Cricetulus griseus: one gene and its partners. The protein of the gene in region 2 interacts with the protein of the main gene of each other region in a biochemical or structural test. Links are inferred from orthologs where the notes say so. Each region holds a gene or a part of one and is shown on either strand. Other genes may lie near its edges.

Evidence for each region.
Region 1: the proteins of Ctsb (region 2) and Cstb form a complex in vitro, tested with the Homo sapiens proteins (2 studies listed by BioGRID). The link is inferred for Cricetulus griseus from reciprocal best matches to the Homo sapiens genes CTSB and CSTB.
Region 3: the proteins of Ctsb (region 2) and Csta form a complex in vitro, tested with the Homo sapiens proteins (3 studies listed by BioGRID and IntAct, with this or other methods). The link is inferred for Cricetulus griseus from reciprocal best matches to the Homo sapiens genes CTSB and CSTA.

The regions. Positions count from the first base shown.
Region 1 is NW_023276806.1:260,434,952-260,439,019, forward strand, and holds Cstb (cystatin-B), read right to left. Parts: upstream 2,859-4,068; 5' UTR 2,754-2,858; coding exon 2,688-2,753; intron 1,463-2,687; coding exon 1,361-1,462; intron 914-1,360; coding exon 785-913; 3' UTR 579-784; downstream 1-578. UniProt on the Homo sapiens protein: This is an intracellular thiol proteinase inhibitor. Tightly binding reversible inhibitor of cathepsins L, H and B.
Region 2 is NW_023276807.1:218,172,793-218,176,440, reverse strand, and holds part of Ctsb (cathepsin B), read right to left. Parts: intron 2,948-3,648; coding exon 2,829-2,947; intron 471-2,828; coding exon 385-470; intron 135-384; coding exon 1-134. UniProt on the Homo sapiens protein: Thiol protease which is believed to participate in intracellular degradation and turnover of proteins. Cleaves matrix extracellular phosphoglycoprotein MEPE. Involved in the solubilization of cross-linked TG/thyroglobulin in the thyroid follicle lumen.
Region 3 is NC_048597.1:53,561,836-53,566,080, reverse strand, and holds the start of Csta (cystatin-A), read right to left. Parts: upstream 2,836-4,245; coding exon 2,770-2,835; intron 1-2,769. UniProt on the Homo sapiens protein: This is an intracellular thiol proteinase inhibitor. Has an important role in desmosome-mediated cell-cell adhesion in the lower levels of the epidermis.

The DNA of each region.
Region 1 (4,068 bases), on a different chromosome or scaffold from region 2:
GGTCACTCCAGTGCCCTAGGCCAGAAAAATTGTCCTAGGCTAGGTCAGGTCATGCCTGTCACAGAAGGGACTCTACCAGCTGGGTCATTTCAGCTGTAAATAACTGTTTTTACAATGTTGGGAATTAAATCAGAGCCTGGTAAAAGTTTATGAATGGTTCAGTGGCTAAAGACACTGGCTGCCATCCCTGATGAGCTGAGTTCAATCCCAGGGATTCATATGGTAGAAACAATACTCACCAAACTGTCCTCTGACCTCCATATGCACACCATGGCATGTATGTAAATATTCATATATGGTAAGTAAATGTAGAAAAATTTAAATAGCAAGTAAACAATTACCTTTTATTGGAATATCTATGTTGTGACTCTAATTTTTGTTTTTGTTTTTCAAGACGGGGTTTCTCTGTGTAGCCTTGGCTGTCCTGAAACTTGCTCTGGAGACCAGGCTGGTCTCAAACTCACAGAGATCCACCTGCCTCTGCCTCCTGAGTATAGGGACTAAAGGCAGGTGCCACCACTGCCTGGTGGTGACTATGATTTTTAAATAAAGGGAAAAATTCTAAACAAAGGAGACAGTTTGTATAGACTTTAAAATATATATATTTAGAGAGAGATCAGATGTAGCTTTCTGAAAATAATTATTTGGAAGAAAGCAAACACAATGCAGTTTGGGAATCACAAATGAAGGTGCCTGATTCTGTCCCCTCCATCACAGAGGGGTATTCACTTCCTGGTCCCAAGGACAATAAAGAGATGAAGTTTTTGGCAAAGGGGCTGCAGAATCAGAAGAAGGTCAGATCGTCATGTCGATTTTTGTTGATCTGGTAGGAAGACAGGGTCAAGGGCTTGTTTTCATGGGGAAGGGGCTTGAACACCCTCAAGTGCACAAATTTTTCGTCACCAACATCAACCTGGAGGGAGAGAAAGAGGGGCCCAGTAGCAAAAGGTGAGTGCCCAGCTCCAGACTCAGCCTGGCCTTAGAGAAGCTCAGGGTACCAGCAACTGGGCCAGTAAAATGCTTGTCTCTTCCTTCAAGACCAGGAACTCCAGGACCCAAAATTCATCGTCTCAGAACCTATATGTGTCTTTTTTTTTTTTTTTTTTTGCTACACAGGGTTTCTCTGTGTAGCTTTGGAGCCTCTCCTGGCCCTCGCTCTGGAAACCAGGCTGGCCTCAAACTCACAGATATCTGCCTGCCTCTGCCTCCCGAGTGCTGGGATTAAAGGCATGCGCCACCAACGCCCGGCTATATGTGTCTTCTTAAAGGGTGTTCCCTCTAAAGGAAGAAGTTGCAGAACACTTGGCTATCCTCTGAGACTGTCCTTCCTCAGTTTTTCCCAGGTCACACTCATACCTACCTTGATAAAGAAGTTGATGCCAGCCACCACCTGTTGCCTGAAGGATACGGCTTTAAAGACGGTGAACTTCTGATTCTCTTTCTCTTCAAGCTGGGATTTCACCTGGATGGTGGGTGATAAGAGAATGACTCAGATTCAATGGCAAGTGCTTTCCTGCCTCTCTTAGGATCCCCCCCCCACCCCCCGCCAGCCATCAACACTAGTGTTCCTCACAGTGGGGGACATGGTAAGCTGTTGGGTGCACTGACAAAGGGGATCACAGCTCCTCTTTTGAGACACGGTCTCACTGTGCAGCTATGGCTGGCCTGGAATTATGTAGACCAGGCTGGCTTCAAACTCTGAGAGATTTGCGTATCTCTGCCTCTGGAGTGCTGGTGTAAGACACTACACCTGGCCAGGGTTCCCTTTAAGTGTACATAGCTCGGTGTCAGGGGTGTAAATCTGCCCAGGCTGAGTAAGAATGATGACAGGCAAGGGTTGCTTGGGCCTGTCAGGGGAGGGCTGGGCAACTGTGTCTGTACCAATTCCTCATTTTCAGGGTCTCATGGAGCTGACTCACTCCTTCCTGGCCACTTTGGTCAGATCACAAACATTCCAAGGACAGCTCAGCTTGGTGGACAGGACCCTGGACTTGGGAGGTGGCTGGAATGCTGAAGGGTGGACATGTTTAACTTTTCCTCTCTTGTTAACACCCTGAACCTCTCTGGCCTGCACATGTCTGCTCTGCAGACAGCCACAGGACGGGCTGCGGGACTCAGAAATCATGCACCAGGAACTCCCACCCAGGTCCATCCTCTGGCTGCAGACTAGGAAATCTAGGCACTAACTAGCAAGTTCTGCAACTTTTGGTTTCAACTTTTCTTTCTCCCGGAGGGAGTGGGGTAAGGTGTGTCCTGCCACTGAGCTATACATTCCTAAGTCTTTATTTTGAGAAAGAGACTCCCACTGTAGCCCAGGCTGGCCTTCATCGAGTCTCTTGTTTAGGCCTGGGTTGAAGTCAGAGGGTGCCTCACCTTCGGGCTAGCCTGATTTTACCCCTGGGCTCTAGCAGTGTGAGCCTCCTTCCTGAACTCTTATGGGACGTCTCACCCCTCCGCCGACCTCGATTTCCTAGTTTCCTAGGAGGTGGGCGGTCCTCTCGCAGACACGACCCAGTCCCGGTTTCTGAATCCTCCAACCAGGCCCAGAGTCCCAGCTCCCAGGCGCAAATGGGACCGCGCCCGCATCCTGCTACAGGACCCGGGCGGGTTTGGGCATGCCGGACCCTTAGGCCGCCGGGTCCCCGAGGGCCTGGCTCTTGCTGGCTCTTGTCCTGGGCCTAGCTCACCGTGTCGGAGATCTCCTGCGTCTCGGCCGTGGCCGGCTGCGTGGCGGACGGCGCTCCACACATCATCTTGGCTGCGGTGGACCTGGGGGCACGGACAGGAGATAAGGACGGAAACAGCGGGGAGGCTTCTGTGCCGGGACCCTAGAAGAACCTGACTCGGCTCCGCCCCCGGGCGCGTGGCACGTGACAAAGCGACGGGACGGGGCGGGGCGGGGCGCCGCACCCTCCCTCCCTCTCTCCAATGTCCTCACTCCTACATCTTAGGCAGTCTTGAGATCCAGGCTGGGCGTGGGCGGAGAGTGCAGCCCAGTGGATACCTCAGGCCCCTTCCCCGGATGGGCACTAAGTGGGGGTAGAAGGCTGGGAGTGGTGATCGCCCCTCAGTAGTGCGGAGTGACTGGAGCATCCGAACCCTCATTCTTTCCATGGCCATCTCAATTCCCCCTTGCCCTGTGGACATAAAGAGGGGGCTGGGTGGGTCCCTAGCCCCCCTTCCATGGGGTGGGCACAAAAATAGAGATGAACGATGACTTAAAGTCCCAGTTCTCCCCTGGTGTCCTGAGTTTGTGGGTCCTGGTAACCCCATAAAATAAGAGCCTATGGGGATCCCCCATGATCTGATCTGGGAAATCCATTCTTCCTGAATGAAATGGGTGTGGACATACTTAGGTTTGTTGGGCTGTAAGGGCTTGGGTATCCCAGTCCCACCATCGGGCACATAATGGGGAGGTCCGGACCCCACTCTCTCATACCCAGTACAGGCTGGGAACCGTGAGGACCCCCGATATGCATGCCCTCTGTCAGTGGTCTTGTTTGAGTGACTGTTAATCCTGAGATTCACACCAGAGAAAAAACAGTTACACCATTTTGACCGAACTAAAGCAAGCTTTTATTAAAGGGTTAATACTGACCAAGATGGAATTTGTTCGGGACCACCACCTGAAGACACATGTTGACATTGACAGAGCTTATAAAGACAAAACTCAAAGGCCACGGTACTTTGCCATGAGACTTTGTTTTCAAGAACTACAACTCCAGGAAGTTATTCCAGGAAGCATTCCGGGAAGTTAACTGGTTCTTGGGCAGGTGGGGTTTACAGGTTAACTTAGGGTCTAACATGACCTTCAGTCCCAATCCCTCTAGTGTTTGTTTTTCCATCGACCAAAATACCAGAATTTGATAGCTGGATGTGACAGTGCACACTTTCTATCCCAGCTCTTGAGAGGCTAAGCAAGCTGGCCTAGTGAGCCCTTGTCTTAAAAAATTAAGAATTTGGGGCTGCATTGATAGCTCATTGTAAAGTGCCTGCCATGCAAGTGTCACAACCTGAATTTGATCCTCAGAACCCAGTTAAAGAGTTGAATGGGAGACTGGAGTAAGG
Region 2 (3,648 bases):
ATCTTCTTTGTAGGATGGGGAATAGCCAGCCTCACAGCTCTTGGTACACTTAGGAGTGTCTCCTTCTCCAGTGCACTGGGGCCGGGAGCCATTGACATGGTGCTCACAGGGAGGTATGGTGTATGGTAAGCAGCCTGACAGGTGGAGGGGACAAAATGACATCAGACCGTATCCCCCAATGCAAGGCTCCCCAGGCCAGTCAGAGCTGGGATGCAGCCAGATCATGTCCACATCCGGTGGCTGCTCCTGTATTGAAGGTGGTCTGGCCAACTATCAATCAGCTGACACTCTACTGTTGACCTTCCCTTTACAATAGAAAAGGAAGCCACAAATACTTGCCCATGAAACCCACCTGAGAGACAGGGGTTGCAGGCATACACTCACCTACATGGGAATTGTAGAGTCCACCAGAAACCAGGCCTTTTTTTATCCAGAAGTTCCATGCTCCAGAGGGATAGCCACCGTTACAGCTGGAAAAGAGCTTCTTTCAATGTTGAGCTAGCTCCAGGTGTTCCCATATAGCACTACAGATTCACCACTGGGAATACACCTTCCTCATAAGAACCCTCCCACAGTCCTATAGCCTAATTCATCTTTACTGTCACCCCACCAGGGACCCAACCCAGCTCCATCTCTGTCTACAAGTGTCCTCCAGGCCACAAGGACTCTCTTTTTCATGTCCATATCAAACTGACCTTCAAAACTCCCCTCTATGGAACAGTGGTTCTCAACTGCACAGTATGTTAAAATTTCCTGAGTATAATAGCCCCCTCCCTGATCTGTAGTTTCATTTCTTTCTTTCTCTTTTTATGAGACAGGGTCTCTCAATGTAGTCCTGGCTGTCCTAGCACTTGTTATGTAGACCAGGCTGAAATCCTCCTGCCTCTGTCATCCGAGTGCTGGGACTAAAGGCATGCACCACCATGCCTGGGTTGTTTGATTTCTGAGGTTTTATCTCAGGTCCAAACATGTTAAGGGGAAAATTCCAAAATTAATTCCTCAATTTTAAATTGCACACTGTTCTTAGTAGCATGATAAAAATCTCACACTTCCTGGTCCATTCAGCAGAGAACTGTATACGCTACTATCTCTAGTCAATTGAGAGCCATCTTGGTTATCAAATCCATATAGCTCTGTGCTGTAGAATATTAGTTGAAGATATGTAACATTCGTTTATGCTGTGGAATATTTGTTTAATGATGCAAAGATGTGTTTCATTCCTTTCTGTTGCATTTATGTAACTCTGTGAAGCTGTGTTACTTTGCCTCCCTAAAACATCTGATTGGTCTAATAAAGAGCTGAATAGCAAATAGTTAGGCAGGAGAGAAAGGATAGGTGGGGTTGCCAGGCAGAGAGAATAAATAGGAGGAATGAGAAAAAAGAGAAGGAGAAGAAGACACCAGGGGCCAGCCACCCTGCCACATAGCCAGCCATGGACTAAGAAGGAAAGAGAAGAAAGGTAAAAAGTCCAGAGGCAAAAGGTAGATGGGATAATTCAAGATAGCAAAGCTGACTACAAACAAGCCAAGCTAAGGCCAGGCATTCAAAAGTAAGAATAAGTCGCCGGGCGTTGGTGGCACACGCCTTTAGTCCCAGCACTCGGGAGGCAGAGGCAGGCGGATCTCTGTGAGTTCGAGACCAGCCTGGTCTACAAGAGCTAGTTCCAGGACAGCCTCCAAAGCCACAGAGAAACCCTGTCTCGAAAAAAAACAAACAAACAAAAAAAAAAAAAAAAAAAAAAGAATAAGTCTCCGTGTATTTATTTGGGAGCTAGGTGGCAAGCCCCTAAAGAGTGAAGAGTAAAAAGCCAACTGCAGAGTAAAAAGCCAACTGCAATTGTGATGCTGCAGTGTGGGTTCAAGTAATCCTTGATGGCCAAGTCTAAGAGCTGTGACGCAGGCAGCTCAGACATGCCAAATGGAAGCTGTAAATGCCTTCATGTGAAAAGGCACAAGTTCTGAAGAGGAAAAGAAAATCATAAACTCAGGTTGCTAAGATCTACGGTAGGAGTGACTCTTCTATGCCTTAAATTATGAAGAAAGGGGGGATTCGTGTTGGTTTCACTGCCACCGGTTGGACTCTAAAGACTTATGGTCACAGTGAATATATGTTCAGCTAAGATGGAAACAGGGCTGTAAAGGGACAGGCAAAATACAGGGTTATGCTCTGGGTTTAAGGCATATACTGGTGCGGTGGGCTCTACTTAGGAGAACCTCTTGCAAAACGGGGTATGGTGTCTTTTCAGCTCCAATGCACTAGGCAGAATATGGAAGTGTGAGGCTCTGCCTGGGGAGAAGTGGGAATCACTTGCCTCCTTCTTCCTGCTGTTCCTACACTATTGGTGTGAGGCCCACACACATTTCTTCTGGAACTCTCAGGAATGTCTAACTGCACCACTGTTATAGACTAAGGGCCAGGCGACCCTGGTAAGCACCTGAGTTACGGACTGAGTTTAGTGTGACCCCACCCTCACCCCCCAAGCTGGGATCTGTCATCCTTATAAAGCGGACCAGTATATTTCCCTGAGTTGGGGGTGTGAGTAGAGGAAGTGATGGGGTACAGTGGGGCATAAGCCAGACAGGGAACAGGAAGCAAGCAAAACTTTTAGAGACCATGTTCTGCCAAGACTCTATCCCCATGAATCTGAGGCCAGCCTGGCCAGCCCGAGAAGCTCCACAGCAGCAGCTACAACAGAGTCTGCCTGCAGACTCCTATGTCTCCCTCTGTCCCAGCCACAGAAACAGCTCTCTTCTCCCCAGGGAGCCCTGAGTTATTCAGTACAAAGGAGGAAGGGCTAGGGTCTCCAGGAAAAGATGCCCAACACTTACCCATCCCCACACTGGCTACCACAGCAGGTAAGCAGGTCCTCAGCAGACACCTCCACATTGACATGGCCATTGGTGTGGATGCAGAGTCGGTCAGACATGGCTCCCACAGCCCCAAATGCCTGGAAAAATAGCAAGTCCCACGTGGTGAGGAACCCACCGTACCTGAAGCAGGGAGGCCATTGGACCTTCTGAGTGGTTAGACCCATTCAATGTCAGGTGAGGCTTCTGGACTCATACTTAACATTAAATGTAAAGAGACCAATCCAAGCCTCTGCCTGGGGACTTGGCTCACAAGGAGCAAATTCCAAGGCAGAGAGCAGAAGAGAGCCACCACGGGCACAGGAGGGCCACAGGGAGTCAGTATGACTGAATTGGTTCATTTGGAAGAGACGAAAGGACTGTGTGGATGGGCAGTAGAGACAGCCACCCAATACTAGGGACATTTTAAATGCCACTGGACTATACACTAGTTAAGAGAGATGAATTTTCTGTCATTTGTATTTTGCTACAATTCAAAAACCACAGAATGGCTCAGTGACACACAGGGAGCACTCATGAAGCTGTGTTGCGTCAGGGCTGCCGTGTTTACTGGGGGAACATGACTCCACAGCTAGTACATGGACCCGGATCTCAGGCCCCTCTGTATGTCTATCATCAGTGTCCACCATCCACTCATCCTTGCAGTAATTCCCAACTACAAGGATCAGAAACTGTAGTGATGGAAAGAAACTGACTTCAAACATTTCCTCACCTACCTTGTCCCATCTGGTCCCTCCCTAGACACTCCAATCACATCCCAGCCAGACTTCTTCAGGAAGCC
Region 3 (4,245 bases), on a different chromosome or scaffold from region 2:
TGCAAAGGGCAGAGATAGCCAAGAGTTGTCTCTCCTAAGACATTTAACAGGGGATTTTAATATATATATATATATATATATATATTATATATAATATATATATATAAAATAAAATATATATCTCCATGACAGGTCGTGGAGATTTTCTCTTTGACCCCACAAATCATTCTAGGGATGCAATAACCCTCTCTGGCCTGACACTGTGTGGGCCCCCCCCCAAACTACAATCTAGGAGGAGTTGATTCAATTTCCTGACTTAACAAGGATTTCAGTAGTATCTGCTTGAGGGGTTCTTTGGAGGATGGGGAATGATTGATGGGACTGAGAAAATGCTTCCTAAAATATACAGTTTACTGCTGTGTCTCTGCCTCCCAACCCTTAACTTGGAAATGTTCCCTAAGGCTGTCTCCTGCAAGAGAGGACAGATGAGTGATGTCTGGGAGCTGAGCCACCACACTGTACTTGTTCACCTTACAGTAAAGTGTTTGACAGCCATGCCTAATGGCCTTTTTGGTCTTAAACCTATGATTATGAAAGAGCACTTAATTAAGTTTTATTTTATAATATGCTCTAGATATCTTGACTTCCTCTATACTGTTAATTTTTCAGGAGCAGTGGGTCTTATAGCCATTTATGTAGCTTCGACAGTTTGTAGCCTTATGCTAGACACCTAGGAGAGACTCAGGAAGTGCCCCTACCATGAAATGGTTGATGCCTATGCAATGTGAATTGTGGTTTAAACCCGCGGCCACGGATTGCATGGAGAAGGCAGGTTTGTGGCATTCTCTCCCCTCAGACCTGCAAAAGCTCCCCAGTGTGTTGAGGCCATGCAGTGGAAAGGACAGATAAATTTTTTAACTGGGTGACTGACTCTCAAGCATTTTGAGTCTTGGTTTCATCATCTAAAAATGGGATGTAATGCCTTGCCTGCCCTAGGGCTTTGAAGATCAAATGGGAGGTGGAATGGAAGTCAAGGCTTTTACAACTCCTTCCTGGGGTGAGGTGGCCTTGTTAAAATCTATTTCCCATTGTACTTCTCTGAAGGTGCAAGAACACACTTCTAAATTAAGTTTATCACCGAAGATGTGGTCCACAGATGGTGTTATTAGCAAGGTAAGCCCTTCTGGTAGCTTCCTAACTTGGAAAAATTATATGATCAAGATACACTGCATGTATATATGAAATTCTCAAAGAACTAGTAAAAATATACTTAAAACTATCCTAGCCAGGCAGGATAACACACTCCTGTAGTCCCAGGTACTTGGGAGACTAGAAGCAAGAGGATTACTTGAGCCTATCAGGTTGCGAGGACCACTCTGAGAAACAGCAAGACCCCCCCCCCAAACTTTTCAAAAAAGAATAATTGTTCAAGCTAACCAAGTGATCAACTATTAAAAAAAATCATTAAAATCTTCTGTATCTTCTATATTTCAAATAGCTGTATTTCCCTATCTATTCCCCATAGCTCTGGTTCCTGGAACATCTTAGGGGATTTTTTAGGCTGGGGGATTTTTTCAGGTGACATACACAGCAATGATGCCTCATCTGTGATATTTGCTTTTGAAACAATTTTTATGTTCATTATTTTAGCTCTTTCTTCTTACAAATGAAATGGAGAACCTTTCCTTGGAATTCATCTCACAGGTCTCCTAGGATGCCAAATATGTTGTCCTACAGGAAAGTGAAGCTGTAGGGAGGAAGCAGCCGTAGCTCCTGAGAGCCTGGGAGAATGCGGACTTGCAGGCCTGTCCAGCCCTCTCCAGTCAGGTCTTCATTTTATCTAGAGCGACAAGTGACTCACGTGCACATTCAAGTCTGAGAACACAAGACTTGATGTGAAGATTCTAATGAAGGTATAAAGATTCAGCATTATCTTCTTCAAAAATAAAATGCTCCAAGTGTATTTATTGACATAAAGCTATGAGTGAGAACTATTTAGCTTTAAATATTTAGCCATTGAATTTTAGGCCCATGATCTCCTCTAGAATGTTCAGTGTTCTAAACATGAAGGCTCCCTCCCACCTCTTCTACTCACATAAAAGCTGATGATACCTAGTATGGTGATGCTTAGGAAGTTGAGGCAGGAGAAGTGCTGTGAGTTTGAAGCCAGTCGGGTTACTTAAGTACTAGACCAATCAGGACATAGCAAGACCACGTCTCAAACAAACAGGCAAGCAAACAACAACAAAACTGATCTTGTCTGCCAGGATGACGGTTCAGGGAGGAAAACAAAATGATGTAAGGAAATAAGGTGACAGATTGCAAACCTACAACCATAATTTGCATGCATTTCTCTTTTATAAAACATGCAACACAACACATTTTTATTATATAGATGATAGTTAAGCAAGGTGCATGAACTTGCTAAAAACATCGGGTTCTATTTTGACTGTAAAGGTGTGGTGCGCACAGCACCCTGGGAATCCTCTCAGGAATCCTTAACAACCTTAGGTGCCTCACACCTTGGCTTCAGTTAGTCCTGAGATCACACTTGTACGTAAAAGGTTTAGAGACTATTTTTACAAATTCACCTTCAGTTAATGGGGAAACTGAAGCTGTAGTGTGACTTGTCCAAGTTTACTTTTGGAAGGTTGACATTTCCCTGAAAAGTCTTAATGTTCCATCTTTAGCTACACAAAAGTCTGAATTAAAACCCATACATTTCTGGTTTCTGTGATTTCCCACACTCTTAACACAGAGCCAAATTTTGAACCAAATGACAAAAGTTTGATTTGGGATCAAACTTTTCCCTGAAATGCCCCAACTTACCTGGTCGGCAATCTCCTGAACTTCTGGTGTGGCAGGCCTGGCCTCAGTCAAGCCTCCTGGGATCATTCTGGTGAGTTGTTTCTTTGCTGGGCAGGATGCTGAGAGGGAATGATCAGGGAGCACGGAGACTCAGGGTTTTAAAGGAGCCAATAAACTCCTCCTATATAATGTATTAACTTCCACAATAGCTGAGGGACTGGGAAATGAGTGTGGCCTCAGGCAAGTCTTATCACCTCCCTTAGAGGAAATGCTGAATAGAGATGGGGAAGGGGGACAACGATAAGGTGATAAGGTGGGGGGGGTGTGAGCAAGTGGGTGTGCCCAGATTTTAGGCGTGGTTAGTATAGGTTCCTCCCTGCTCTCTGTGCCAATTTTTTTTTCATCCTGTTGTATCATATGAGGAGCGACACACATGCAACCAGAGTTGCCAAATAAGTTAAACCTCAAGAGTTCTTTTAAGAGGATACTTAATAATGTCAAGTCTGGTTGCTTAGAATTCACCTAACTTTATAAAGACAGCAAAACTGTCTGTCTGGAGGACTTTTAGTTTCTGAAATGCTTATGCTTATCCCCAAACACAAAAAATAAAATAACAAACATCTTTATTTTTTTATTTTGCTGTTGATTCGTGTGTGTGTTTGAAGGGATTTCATTTATCCTGGGCTGGTCTTGAAATCACTATGAACCTTGAACTTCCAGTTCTCTTGCCTCTACCTGCAGAGTCTGGAATTGCAGGCATGTACCATGTCCAGTTTATGTGGTGCTGGTGATTAAATCCAGGGCTTTTTTGGGTGCCAGCTATGTCATCTTCCAGTTGATCTATGTGCCCAGCCCAAGATAGCCTGATTTCTGTCATTTAGTATTTGCTTTTGTTTTGTTATTTTTTGTTATTTGCTTCATGCTCCTTTTTGTAGTTTCTTTTATTGTCTTCCTTCCTTCCTTCCTTCCTTCCTTCCTTCCTTCCTTCCTTCTTTCCTTCCTTCCTTCCTTCTTTTTAATTCAAGCTGGCCTAGAATTTATTAAGTAGCCCAGGCTGGACTTCAGGTCCAGTTTCTTCTGCATGCTGAGATTAATATCACCTATGGAGGAAGCCCCCACCCAACCATGTCATCCACAGAGTTATACCATGAGTTTGTTAACCCTGTAGCCCATTTTAATAATTTGTAGCCAAGTTTTACAGTTTAATTTTTATTAAATCATATATAACCACATATTCTGTTATACTATTGTTTCTGTCTGTCTCTGTCTCTGTCTCTGTCTCTGTCTCTGTCTCTCTCTCTCTCTCTCTCTCTCTCTCTCTCTCTCTGTGTGTGTGTGTGTGTGTGTGTGTGTGTAGGGAGTCCAGAGGTGTCAGATCCCTGGAGATGGAGTTACAGATGATTTTGGGCTGCCTGACATGGCCACTGGGAACTGAACTCTGGTCCCCTGTGTGTTATAAAGTGCTGAGCCATCTCTCCAGCTCCTATGCTCCTTTTC